Linked DNA regions of Saccharomyces cerevisiae S288C. Each later gene encodes a partner of the first gene's protein in a complex. Each region holds a gene or a part of one and is shown in the gene's direction. Other genes may lie near its edges.

Region 1 (6,435 bases):
TCTGAGAAAGTAGGCGTTTTTCAGCTACCTCAGTCGCTAAAAATAAATGCGAGTTCTCAAGCCAACTTGGACTCCAAGGCGGTAATTATAGTGATTCTCTTTGTCTATTTTTGGATTTATTTTGGAGGCTGACACTCTAAAGCCAGCCATTGGATTAATTATTTTTTCACTTCGTCAATTGACTATGCGGAAAAACTAAATGTGGTCAAATTCTGTCGGCTATGTACACGAAAACTATATACGCCTCGTCCTTTCAGCCACTACAACATAACAACACCGACATTGCTACGCCTTTTAATGTCGTTACTATTGTCGGGATTCAAGCCACCGGTAATCGGCTTTGCTCTATAATTAAATAAATAGAAGTTCAAGAACCCGTCACCGGGCCCGAACTTCAAATCATCCAAGAACAATGTATTATCTTGCGAAGTCAACGCGTTAAAAACATCCATATTAGCGTTTTTGGCCAAAATACAAGCGTCATAAATCAATTCACACAATCTTGTTTTCAAAGCCTTAGTAGCTTTTGGATCAAACCTGTCTTTGAATTGGAAATCTGCATCGGTGGCATAATAATACAAGTACCCGATGCCTAGGTCCTTATATTTTGTGTTATTTAGGATTGTGAATGGCAATGAGTAAAATGAGAAGAAGTCTGTAATTTTTCCATCGGGCTGTTCGACTACATATGAGAAAATTACTTGTTTATCCAATGGTAACGATTCTTCACCAATGAAATTATGTTCGAATTCTTCTTTTGTGAAAATTTGAATTAGTTCGAACCTGGATTGATATCTTTTGAACAACTCAAAAACTTGGTCAATATCTTCCTTCTTTAATTTTCTCAATCCCGCTGTCTTTGTTTTGGCCGGTAACGCATTCTCAGCAATCATATCCTCCTCTGTGTGCCCATCTGGTAACCCTGTGAAATCTACTTCATAAAGTTTCTTCCAATTCAAGGGACGATGAGTATAACGACACGTACTCACAGGTGCTGGCAAAACAATACCTGCCGTGTACAATGCATGCCAGATGTCACATTTGTTCACTCGTCTCGTAATTTCTTTAATTAGAACAGGTGTTAATCTCTTCGATCTTAGCTGTTTGTGAACGCACAAGAAATTGATTTCTACACTAGGCACTTGTTTACCTCTAACACCAAGTGTTACTGGTATGGCTGAGATAAAGGCAACTAATTTCTGTGTTTCTTTAACGCGAACACCAATATGCCAATCCTTCTTCCAACCTGGACTCTTTAAAGCCCAATTGAAGAATTCTTTGGTATAGTTAAATCTGAAGCCTGCATCGCGGTCTTCCACGTAGTTTTCATTTAGTAGAACGAAAACATCTTCAAGCTGTTTTTTGTTGTCCACATCAATACTACACCATTCGAAGCTAGACAATAAAGGTAGTGGCTTGTCAGATATATCTTCCGGTGTCTTTGGCTTATCAATGGGGCCTTCTTCCACCACCTTTTCATCGAAATCTTTGACCGGTTGCGTTCTCCAGAATTTGTGGTCTTTCATAGCTTTTTTCTGTTCTTGAGTGAATTTTGAAGTATCGTCATTATTCAACTGTAATAACTTCAATAAATTCTCTAATTTTTTCGCTTTATCCTCTTCTGACATTCTATAAATACGTTTACTACCGAAGCTCTATGACAACCAGAGCTATTGTACAGATCATTCTCTAAAAAGCGTGCAACACATATCATCTTCAATTATAGTGAATTACTTTTATCATGAGCAACGGCTGAAATTATTTTATCCTATTGTTTTATGACAGTATCCTTTCAAAAGAGTCGAAAGGATCCTCTGTTGCAAGAACTACTATTACGTAATTATACATAGTCCGCCTGCAATTTCTAGTGAGACTTTGCTTTGCTTTCCACTTTGCGATTAATATTGAGAATTTTAAACGTTAACTGAATTCTTACCCACCCATAATAAGAACTCTAACTGGCGAATTTATCATGAAACAAATCTGCAAGAATAAAAAATTAGAGAATCGTGCAATTCAATTTAATTGCCTTGTCCGTTGTAAAACTTTTCCATAGGCCCTACCTTGAGTTGATCATATGTATTATTCTATATATATTATATCCAGTCGGGTAATAAATTTTCTCGCCCTCGAAAAAAAGAAGTGAAAAATTTGTCTCGATGAGCTGAGATGAGTTTGAAAGAAGCAAAGAGTTTTAATTTGTAAACGATAGCAAGTGTACCCTCAGTTGAGTCTATTACGCCTTCCTTATTTGGAAACTTAGAAGACGAATAAAAAAAACAAAATAACTAATGATTTCTGCTACTAATTGGGTTCCAAGAGGGTTTTCCTCGGAATTTCCTGAAAAGTATGTTCTGGATGATGAGGAAGTGGAAAGAATTAACCAATTAGCACAGTTGAATTTGGATGATGCTAAAGCTACTTTGGAAGAAGCAGAAGGCGAATCAGGTGTTGAAGATGACGCCGCAACAGGTAGTTCTAATAAGTTGAAGGATCAGTTGGATATAGATGATGATTTGAAAGAATATAACCTGGAAGAATATGACGATGAGGAAATTGCAGATAATGAGGGTGGTAAAGACGTTTCCATGTTCCCGGGTTTAAGTAATGATAGCGATGTTAAATTCCATGAGGGTGAAAAAGGTGAAGATCCATATATTTCATTGCCTAATCAAGAGGATAGTCAAGAGGAGAAGCAGGAGTTACAAGTTTACCCATCCGATAATTTAGTTCTTGCTGCGAGAACAGAAGATGACGTTTCGTATTTGGATATCTACGTTTACGATGACGGTGCTGGGTTCCACAGTAGCGATATTCCCGTTGAAGAAGGTGATGAAGCTGACCCAGATGTTGCTCGTGGATTGGTTCGTGACCCTGCACTTTACGTTCACCATGATTTAATGTTGCCTGCTTTTCCACTATGTGTTGAGTGGCTTGACTACAAGGTTGGATCCAATTCCGAAGAAGCAGCCAATTATGCTGCCATTGGTACGTTTGATCCACAAATTGAAATTTGGAACTTGGACTGTGTTGACAAGGCCTTTCCCGATATGATTCTGGGTGAACCTCTTGATAATTCAATGGTGTCTTTGAAAAGCAAAAAGAAGAAGAAGAAGTCTAAGACTGGACACATTACTACTCATCATACCGATGCTGTTTTATCCATGGCACACAACAAATATTTCCGTTCCGTTTTAGCATCCACCTCTGCAGATCATACCGTAAAACTATGGGATTTGAACTCAGGTAACGCAGCCCGCTCCTTAGCTTCCATTCATTCAAACAAAAATGTTTCATCATCTGAATGGCACATGTTGAATGGTTCCATTCTTTTGACCGGTGGTTATGATTCTCGAGTAGCTTTAACAGATGTTAGAATTTCTGACGAAAGTCAAATGAGTAAATACTGGTCTGCCATGGCAGGTGAGGAAATAGAAACTGTTACATTTGCCAGTGAAAATATAATATTATGTGGTACTGATTCTGGTAATGTGTATTCTTTCGATATTAGAAACAATGAAAACCGTAAACCAGTTTGGACATTGAAGGCACACGATGCTGGTATCTCCACATTATGTTCAAACAAATTCATCCCTGGTATGATGAGTACAGGGGCCATGGGTGAAAAGACTGTCAAATTATGGAAATTCCCCTTGGATGATGCTACGAACACTAAGGGCCCAAGCATGGTTCTGTCTCGTGATTTCGATGTCGGAAATGTATTGACATCGTCATTCGCTCCAGACATCGAGGTAGCGGGTACCATGGTCATTGGTGGTGTCAATAAAGTTTTGAAACTATGGGACGTTTTTACCAATAGATCTGTACGTAAGAGCTTTAAAAGTGAACTAGAGAATGTTCAAGCAAGAGCAAAAGAAGAAGCCCAAAAAATAGGAAAAAGTTCAAGAATCGCCAGAAAATACACCAGTAACGATAACCCAGATACTGTTATAACCATTGATGATCAAGGTGAAGATGAAGAAGAAAGAGAAGGTGGAGATGAGCATGATGACATGGCATAATCTGGATATGAAAAATATTAAAGCAGAGTACATTGCAAGTACAAATAAAAAATCTATAGAAGATAATACTGTATACTAGTGTAAGAGGAGCCTCAGAAAAAAACAATATAATACATTAATATGTGCTGTTACGGTATAATTTAGCATATGATGACAATGTGGTGAATTACAGTTGTGTAACTTTTTTATATCACCCGGCATATATACGCTCGTAGAATGCGATGTGAAAATTTTCTTTTTTTTTTTTTTTCAAAGTGAAATTTTTTTGAGTGATGAGATGGGAAATGAAAAATTTTGTGCAATTGCGTAGTGTCTACAGTTTTTTAAGTAGTTATTAAAAGTGTTTTGGAAGGTATATTTCTAGGAGAAGAAGCGTGCAGAACAGTATTTAGTGAAAGATGGCTCCTATTGAATACCTACTGTTTGAAGAACCTACTGGTTACGCAGTTTTCAAGGTTAAGTTGCAACAAGATGACATTGGTTCAAGATTAAAAGAAGTTCAAGAGCAAATCAATGATTTTGGTGCTTTTACAAAGTTAATCGAACTTGTATCTTTCGCGCCATTCAAAGGTGCTGCTGAAGCCCTTGAAAATGCTAACGACATATCAGAAGGTTTAGTCTCTGAGAGTTTGAAAGCTATCTTGGATTTAAACTTACCAAAGGCTTCCTCGAAAAAGAAGAACATTACTTTGGCTATTTCCGATAAAAACTTAGGTCCTTCTATTAAGGAAGAATTTCCATATGTTGATTGTATTTCAAATGAACTTGCTCAGGATTTGATTCGTGGTGTCAGATTACATGGCGAAAAATTATTCAAAGGTCTACAATCTGGTGACTTAGAAAGAGCCCAATTAGGTTTAGGTCACGCTTACTCCAGAGCTAAAGTGAAGTTCTCTGTTCAAAAGAACGACAATCACATCATTCAAGCTATTGCTTTATTAGATCAATTAGATAAAGATATCAACACTTTTGCTATGAGAGTTAAAGAGTGGTATGGCTGGCATTTCCCCGAACTGGCTAAATTGGTACCAGACAACTACACTTTTGCCAAGTTGGTTCTTTTTATCAAGGACAAAGCTTCATTAAACGATGACTCCTTACATGATTTGGCTGCTCTTTTGAATGAGGATTCGGGAATTGCACAAAGAGTCATTGACAATGCCCGTATCTCCATGGGACAAGATATATCAGAAACCGATATGGAAAATGTTTGTGTTTTCGCTCAGAGAGTCGCTTCCTTAGCTGATTACAGAAGACAATTATACGATTACTTATGCGAAAAAATGCACACTGTTGCACCAAACTTATCAGAATTGATTGGTGAAGTGATTGGTGCTAGATTAATTTCTCACGCAGGTTCCCTAACTAATTTATCTAAGCAAGCAGCTTCAACGGTTCAAATTCTTGGTGCTGAAAAGGCTTTGTTCAGAGCTTTAAAAACTAAAGGTAACACTCCAAAATACGGTTTGATTTACCACAGTGGTTTTATTTCTAAGGCCTCTGCCAAGAACAAGGGTCGTATTTCTAGATACTTGGCTAACAAATGTTCTATGGCCTCTAGAATTGACAATTACTCTGAGGAACCATCTAATGTTTTTGGTTCCGTACTAAAGAAACAAGTTGAGCAAAGATTAGAATTCTACAACACTGGTAAGCCAACTTTGAAGAATGAATTAGCCATTCAAGAAGCCATGGAACTTTATAACAAAGATAAACCAGCTGCAGAAGTGGAAGAAACCAAGGAAAAGGAATCCTCAAAGAAGAGAAAATTAGAAGATGATGATGAAGAAAAGAAGGAAAAGAAAGAGAAAAAATCGAAGAAGGAAAAGAAAGAAAAGAAGGAAAAGAAGGACAAAAAGGAAAAGAAAGATAAAAAGGAAAAGAAGGATAAAAAGAAGAAAAGTAAGGATTAAAAGGAACAATGAATCGAAATAAAGTATATCCCATCTTTTTGTGTACTTTTCTTCCCTTTAAAGTTTTTCATATATATATATATTATCTTTTATTCCCTTCTAATATTCTTCTTTAGGATTTGGAAGCTGTATATTGTATATTTAGAAATATTATTAAATAAAAAAGTCATATGTTATTTTGAGCTTAAGTACCCTCTTATGCCTCTTTCACTCGCCATTACTGACATTCTGTGATCGCCATTCATATATATAGGCCTGATTGTGCACCAATTGCCGCGCTATCACACCTCCATAAGCGATAGCATTCTTCAGAATATCTTGAAGGCTCAAAACCAAGCCATTGACCGCACAAATCAACTAAAGAACCCATGTCAGACAACGAAAGTTTCTCAAATCCATTAGGCCCCTCACTAGGCGCTACAAGACATTTAAATTTCAGTCCCTTACTGGGACCGACAATCAATTGTGTTAGCACACTTCCTATGAATCCCGTTATAAAT
Region 2 (5,091 bases), on another chromosome or scaffold:
TACGTTCGTAAACTTTATCAACGAACGACGCTTTTTTTTTAAACCTCTATATAAGCATGTTTTTAGCTTGGGAAATTAAGGTGTAGCCCTGGTTTTGAAGATAATTAAGAATCTAATGGGGCAATGCTTGTGTAGATGACATTTTATAGAGTAAAATTACTTCCCGTTTAGCTCGATAAACGCCTTAGGCCTACATAAATCTTAAACATTTGTCCCCGGTCAGCTTTTAAATTATGTCTTCTTTGCCCTGGGGCGTCTTCTTGAACGGCATCAATTTAGTGAGTAGAAGAGCACTTCACATTTCCGCCTAAAATCAATGCAAGAACCATTAACAAAAAAAACCGCTCAGCAGGCGTAACGGGAAGTAACAGACTACCTTAAATTTTCAATAACAATTGTGCTATTATCTAATTTTCTTAGGAAAGAGGCAGTTTCGAAGTAGAACAATCATAATGACAAGCAAAACGAAGAATATCGATGATATACCTCCAGAAATCAAAGAAGAGATGATACAGCTCTATCATGATCTACCGGGTATAGAAAATGAATATAAACTCATAGACAAGATCGGTGAGGGAACATTTTCGTCAGTGTATAAAGCCAAAGATATCACTGGGAAAATAACAAAAAAATTTGCATCACATTTTTGGAATTATGGTTCGAACTATGTTGCTTTGAAGAAAATATACGTTACCTCGTCACCGCAAAGAATTTATAATGAGCTCAACCTGCTGTACATAATGACGGGATCTTCGAGAGTAGCCCCTCTATGTGATGCAAAAAGGGTGCGAGATCAAGTCATTGCTGTTTTACCGTACTATCCCCACGAGGAGTTCCGAACTTTCTACAGGGATCTACCAATCAAGGGAATCAAGAAGTACATTTGGGAGCTACTAAGAGCATTGAAGTTTGTTCATTCGAAGGGAATTATTCATAGAGACATCAAACCGACAAATTTTTTATTTAATTTGGAATTGGGGCGTGGAGTGCTTGTTGATTTTGGTCTAGCCGAGGCTCAAATGGATTATAAAAGCATGATATCTAGTCAAAACGATTACGACAATTATGCAAATACAAACCATGATGGTGGATATTCAATGAGGAATCACGAACAATTTTGTCCATGCATTATGCGTAATCAATATTCTCCTAACTCACATAACCAAACACCTCCTATGGTCACCATACAAAATGGCAAGGTCGTCCACTTAAACAATGTAAATGGGGTGGATCTGACAAAGGGTTATCCTAAAAATGAAACGCGTAGAATTAAAAGGGCTAATAGAGCAGGGACTCGTGGATTTCGGGCACCAGAAGTGTTAATGAAGTGTGGGGCTCAAAGCACAAAGATTGATATATGGTCCGTAGGTGTTATTCTTTTAAGTCTTTTGGGCAGAAGATTTCCAATGTTCCAAAGTTTAGATGATGCGGATTCTTTGCTAGAGTTATGTACTATTTTTGGTTGGAAAGAATTAAGAAAATGCGCAGCGTTGCATGGATTGGGTTTCGAAGCTAGTGGGCTCATTTGGGATAAACCAAACGGATATTCTAATGGATTGAAGGAATTTGTTTATGATTTGCTTAATAAAGAATGTACCATAGGTACGTTCCCTGAGTACAGTGTTGCTTTTGAAACATTCGGATTTCTACAACAAGAATTACATGACAGGATGTCCATTGAACCTCAATTACCTGACCCCAAGACAAATATGGATGCTGTTGATGCCTATGAGTTGAAAAAGTATCAAGAAGAAATTTGGTCCGATCATTATTGGTGCTTCCAGGTTTTGGAACAATGCTTCGAAATGGATCCTCAAAAGCGTAGTTCAGCAGAAGATTTACTGAAAACCCCGTTTTTCAATGAATTGAATGAAAACACATATTTACTGGATGGCGAGAGTACTGACGAAGATGACGTTGTCAGCTCAAGCGAGGCAGATTTGCTCGATAAGGATGTTCTCCTAATATCTGAATAGCAAAGTGATAAATTACTGCTAGTCTGAAATAATTTCCTTTTCTTTGGAAAGAGAATTTTAAAAGTACTTACATATTTGCATAGTGAAAGATTTAAATAAAAATTTCTTAAAGTGAAACGGTTTAGCATAATTGGTGGCATGCGCTTAAGATAGTGCCAAATACCAAAAGGCACAGGTGCAGACGATACTTAAACAATAGTGCTACTACGCCACTTCGTGAAAGCTAATATCTCTTTACCTTGCATTTGGGCATGTTGCAAACAGGAGGATCAAAATACAAATGGAATCAAGAATGCTCTTCTGGTATGATACTTTTTGTTTTTCTTTTGAGCCCATGCGTACATTTGAGCTGTTGAAACAGTCAAAAATAAAACGGCAAATAAATTGAACTTGAACACAAAAGTAAACCAAATCCAAGACCAAACTTCAAAAGTATAGTTGGGAGCAACAAAAAGATTGAAAATACCTTGATTCAATGGGACACGGATCTTAGCGTTACCATGCTTCTTTTGATAGTCACCCCATAGGCGCAATTTAATGTGGCAATAAAAGTTCCATAGTTCTGAAAGCACGAAAAGACCAATTAATGTACTCAAGTCATCCAATTTCAAATATGAATAGTATTTGAATAACTTAGCATTCCCAAAGGGGAAGCCGTAGCCAAAGTAACCGAATGAAATGAGACCGCTTAGAACCCAGTAATGGAAACAATTTTTGAACAGGTTGAAAATTGGCATAGTAGCTAAAGAGAATTGGTGAACAAATAAGGTTTCAAATAATCTCTTTCCATAATGTCCTAAAATTAAAAAATATGCAACCCTGTTTAAAAATGGATTATAGTCGGAGCTAGCACTGTGCCATCTATCAACAACTGTGGGAATGGTAGATAGATAATAAAAAAGGGAGTGAACCAAGACTGGACCCAAATACTCACAAAAGAAGACTAATCTCCATGAAATTTGGGGACCCAAATCTTTGATGAAGAATTCCATTGAGTCATCAGCCTCTTCTTGAAAAAACGATTCTGAAATAACCGGAACTTGTTTAGATTCCTTTTTGTAGGTTAATCTTATCCTGTACTTGCTGATATTGTGGTTATTAGCAGAGATTTTTTTCAAAACATCATCTAAAGTAGGCTTTTTGGATAAGTCAATTTCAGTGTCCCTTAACCCTTTAGAGCGGCTTTTTATGGTGATAGGCATTTTCAAATTAAATTCAAAATATGTATCTCTCTCAAATAGCTCAATTGGTTTCTAGATAGCTAAATAGAATATAATCTTACTGTCCTCCGTTCTGTAAAATTCACGCTCTTAGTCCCTTTTCATAATTCCTTAACTTTTTGCGTACAAAATGATATGTTTATTATATTTTTCTTTTTTTTTTTTCAAATTTTTTCTTTTTCTTGAAAAATTTTTCAAATTGGAAAGCTCATCTCTCTTGAATGTATAATACTTTCTTCCTCTAACTTTCAAAAAGTTTTACATAGCCAAGAAGTTTTCCTTACATCGGTATACTACTGTTATATAAGTTATTCTTCGAGAAACAATTAGATATCATTCATCGGATAAATCTAAGTTGCCCATTGCTTTCAATAACTCCGATCAAATTAACTCAAATCAACTAAAACAGTAATGTCATTCAGACCAGGTAGCAGAGGTGGTTCCCGTGGAGGTTCCAGAGGTGGCTTCGGTGGTAGAGGCGGTTCCCGTGGTGGTGCTCGCGGTGGTTCCAGAGGTGGCTTCGGTGGTAGAGGCGGTTCTCGTGGTGGTGCCCGTGGTGGTTCCAGAGGCGGCTTCGGTGGTAGAGGCGGTTCTCGTGGTGGTGCCCGTGGTGGCTCCAGAGGTGGTAGAGGTGGCGCTGCTGGTGGTGCCCGTGGTGGTGCCAAGGTCGTTATTGAACCACATAGACATGCCGGTGTTTACATTGCTAGAGGTAAAGAAGATTTGCTAGTTACCAAGAACATGGCCCCAGGTGAATCAGTTTATGGTGAAAAGAGAATCTCCGTTGAAGAACCATCTAAGGAAGATGGTGTCCCACCAACCAAGGTCGAATACCGTGTATGGAACCCATTCAGATCTAAGTTGGCTGCCGGTATTATGGGTGGTCTAGATGAATTATTTATTGCCCCAGGCAAGAAAGTTTTATATTTAGGTGCTGCTTCCGGTACTTCTGTTTCTCACGTTTCAGATGTTGTTGGTCCAGAAGGTGTTGTCTACGCCGTAGAATTTTCTCACAGACCAGGCAGAGAATTGATTTCTATGGCAAAGAAGAGACCTAATATCATCCCAATCATTGAAGATGCTAGACACCCACAAAAATACAGAATGTTGATTGGTATGGTTGACTGTGTCTTCGCAGATGTTGCCCAGCCTGATCAAGCTCGTATTATTGCATTGAACTCTCATATGTTCTTGAAGGACCAAGGTGGTGTTGTTATCTCCATTAAGGCTAACTGTATTGATTCTACTGTAGACGCGGAAACCGTTTTTGCTAGAGAAGTTCAAAAGTTACGTGAGGAACGTATTAAGCCATTAGAACAATTGACTTTAGAGCCATATGAAAGAGACCATTGTATCGTCGTTGGTAGATACATGAGAAGCGGTTTGAAGAAATAAGTTGAATAAAGGAAATTAGTCAAAAGTTTCTGGTAGCTTGCTCAATTATTAGCAGAATAATTGTTTCGTTTATATATATTTCCCCCATTCAGTTTCACTTCCTATTTGAAGTTTTTGTAACCCTCGACTTTGTAAAATAGATATTACTAAATTCTTTTAGAGAACAAAAGTATTGTACGTATTCGCCATATAAAAAAAAAAGAGTATATGTGGTGACTTTTTGGTCATTAATTGTTAAGAGCAAGCAAGTAGAAATCATAATCATATTTCGAGTTTTTTAAAGGTAGGAACAATATCGATAAGCTGTTCTCCAGTCTCGACACTGTTTGATGACCATATATCATTAATTCTTGTAACACTACATCATAGATTTCTCTTTATCCTTGGATTGAATCTGAAAAAATTTTGATAGAGTCTTTTGTTCAAAGTGTCACTTCTTCATCTGTCACTCTTACGTATTTTTTTTTTTTTGGCTTTGCCCATAAGAAACATCACTGTAT

The links.
Region 2: the proteins of NOP56 (region 1) and NOP1 are in contact, whole or in part, in a crystal structure (PDB 6ZDT), measured with the Saccharomyces cerevisiae proteins. Residues at the interface, in NP_013298.1 of Saccharomyces cerevisiae: Glu10 (codon at 4,448), Glu11 (codon at 4,451), Pro12 (codon at 4,454), Lys32 (codon at 4,514), Gln35 (codon at 4,523), Glu36 (codon at 4,526), Asn39 (codon at 4,535), Phe56 (codon at 4,586), Asn65 (codon at 4,613), Ala66 (codon at 4,616), Ile69 (codon at 4,625), Ser70 (codon at 4,628), Glu71 (codon at 4,631), Ser101 (codon at 4,721), Asp102 (codon at 4,724), Leu105 (codon at 4,733), Glu122 (codon at 4,784), Gln125 (codon at 4,793), Asp126 (codon at 4,796), Arg129 (codon at 4,805), Arg132 (codon at 4,814), Leu133 (codon at 4,817), Glu148 (codon at 4,862), Gln151 (codon at 4,871), Leu152 (codon at 4,874), Leu154 (codon at 4,880), Gly155 (codon at 4,883), His156 (codon at 4,886), Tyr158 (codon at 4,892), Ser159 (codon at 4,895); in NP_010270.1 of Saccharomyces cerevisiae: Lys169 (codon at 4,112), Val193 (codon at 4,184), Tyr195 (codon at 4,190), His201 (codon at 4,208), Arg205 (codon at 4,220), Ile208 (codon at 4,229), Ser209 (codon at 4,232), Ala211 (codon at 4,238), Lys212 (codon at 4,241), Pro215 (codon at 4,250), Ile217 (codon at 4,256), Ile218 (codon at 4,259), Pro219 (codon at 4,262), Ile220 (codon at 4,265), Ile221 (codon at 4,268), Glu222 (codon at 4,271), Gln228 (codon at 4,289), Lys229 (codon at 4,292), Arg231 (codon at 4,298), Met232 (codon at 4,301), Leu233 (codon at 4,304), Ile234 (codon at 4,307), Gly235 (codon at 4,310), Met236 (codon at 4,313), Ser257 (codon at 4,376), His258 (codon at 4,379), Met259 (codon at 4,382), Phe260 (codon at 4,385), Leu261 (codon at 4,388), Lys262 (codon at 4,391).

The regions. Positions count from the first base shown.
Region 1 is NC_001144.5:541,677-548,111, forward strand, and holds NOP56 (snoRNP complex protein NOP56), read left to right. Parts: upstream 1-4,420; coding exon 4,421-5,935; downstream 5,936-6,435. Other genes in the region: glycylpeptide N-tetradecanoyltransferase NMT1, read right to left, coding at 261-1,628; rRNA-processing protein PWP1, read left to right, coding at 2,292-4,022; PBA1 (Pba1p), read right to left, coding at 6,177-6,435. UniProt on the Saccharomyces cerevisiae protein: Required for 60S ribosomal subunit synthesis.
Region 2 is NC_001136.10:423,757-428,847, forward strand, and holds NOP1 (rRNA methyltransferase NOP1), read left to right. Parts: upstream 1-3,607; coding exon 3,608-4,591; downstream 4,592-5,091. Other genes in the region: serine/threonine protein kinase CDC7, read left to right, coding at 453-1,976; trans-2-enoyl-CoA reductase (NADPH) TSC13, read right to left, coding at 2,246-3,178.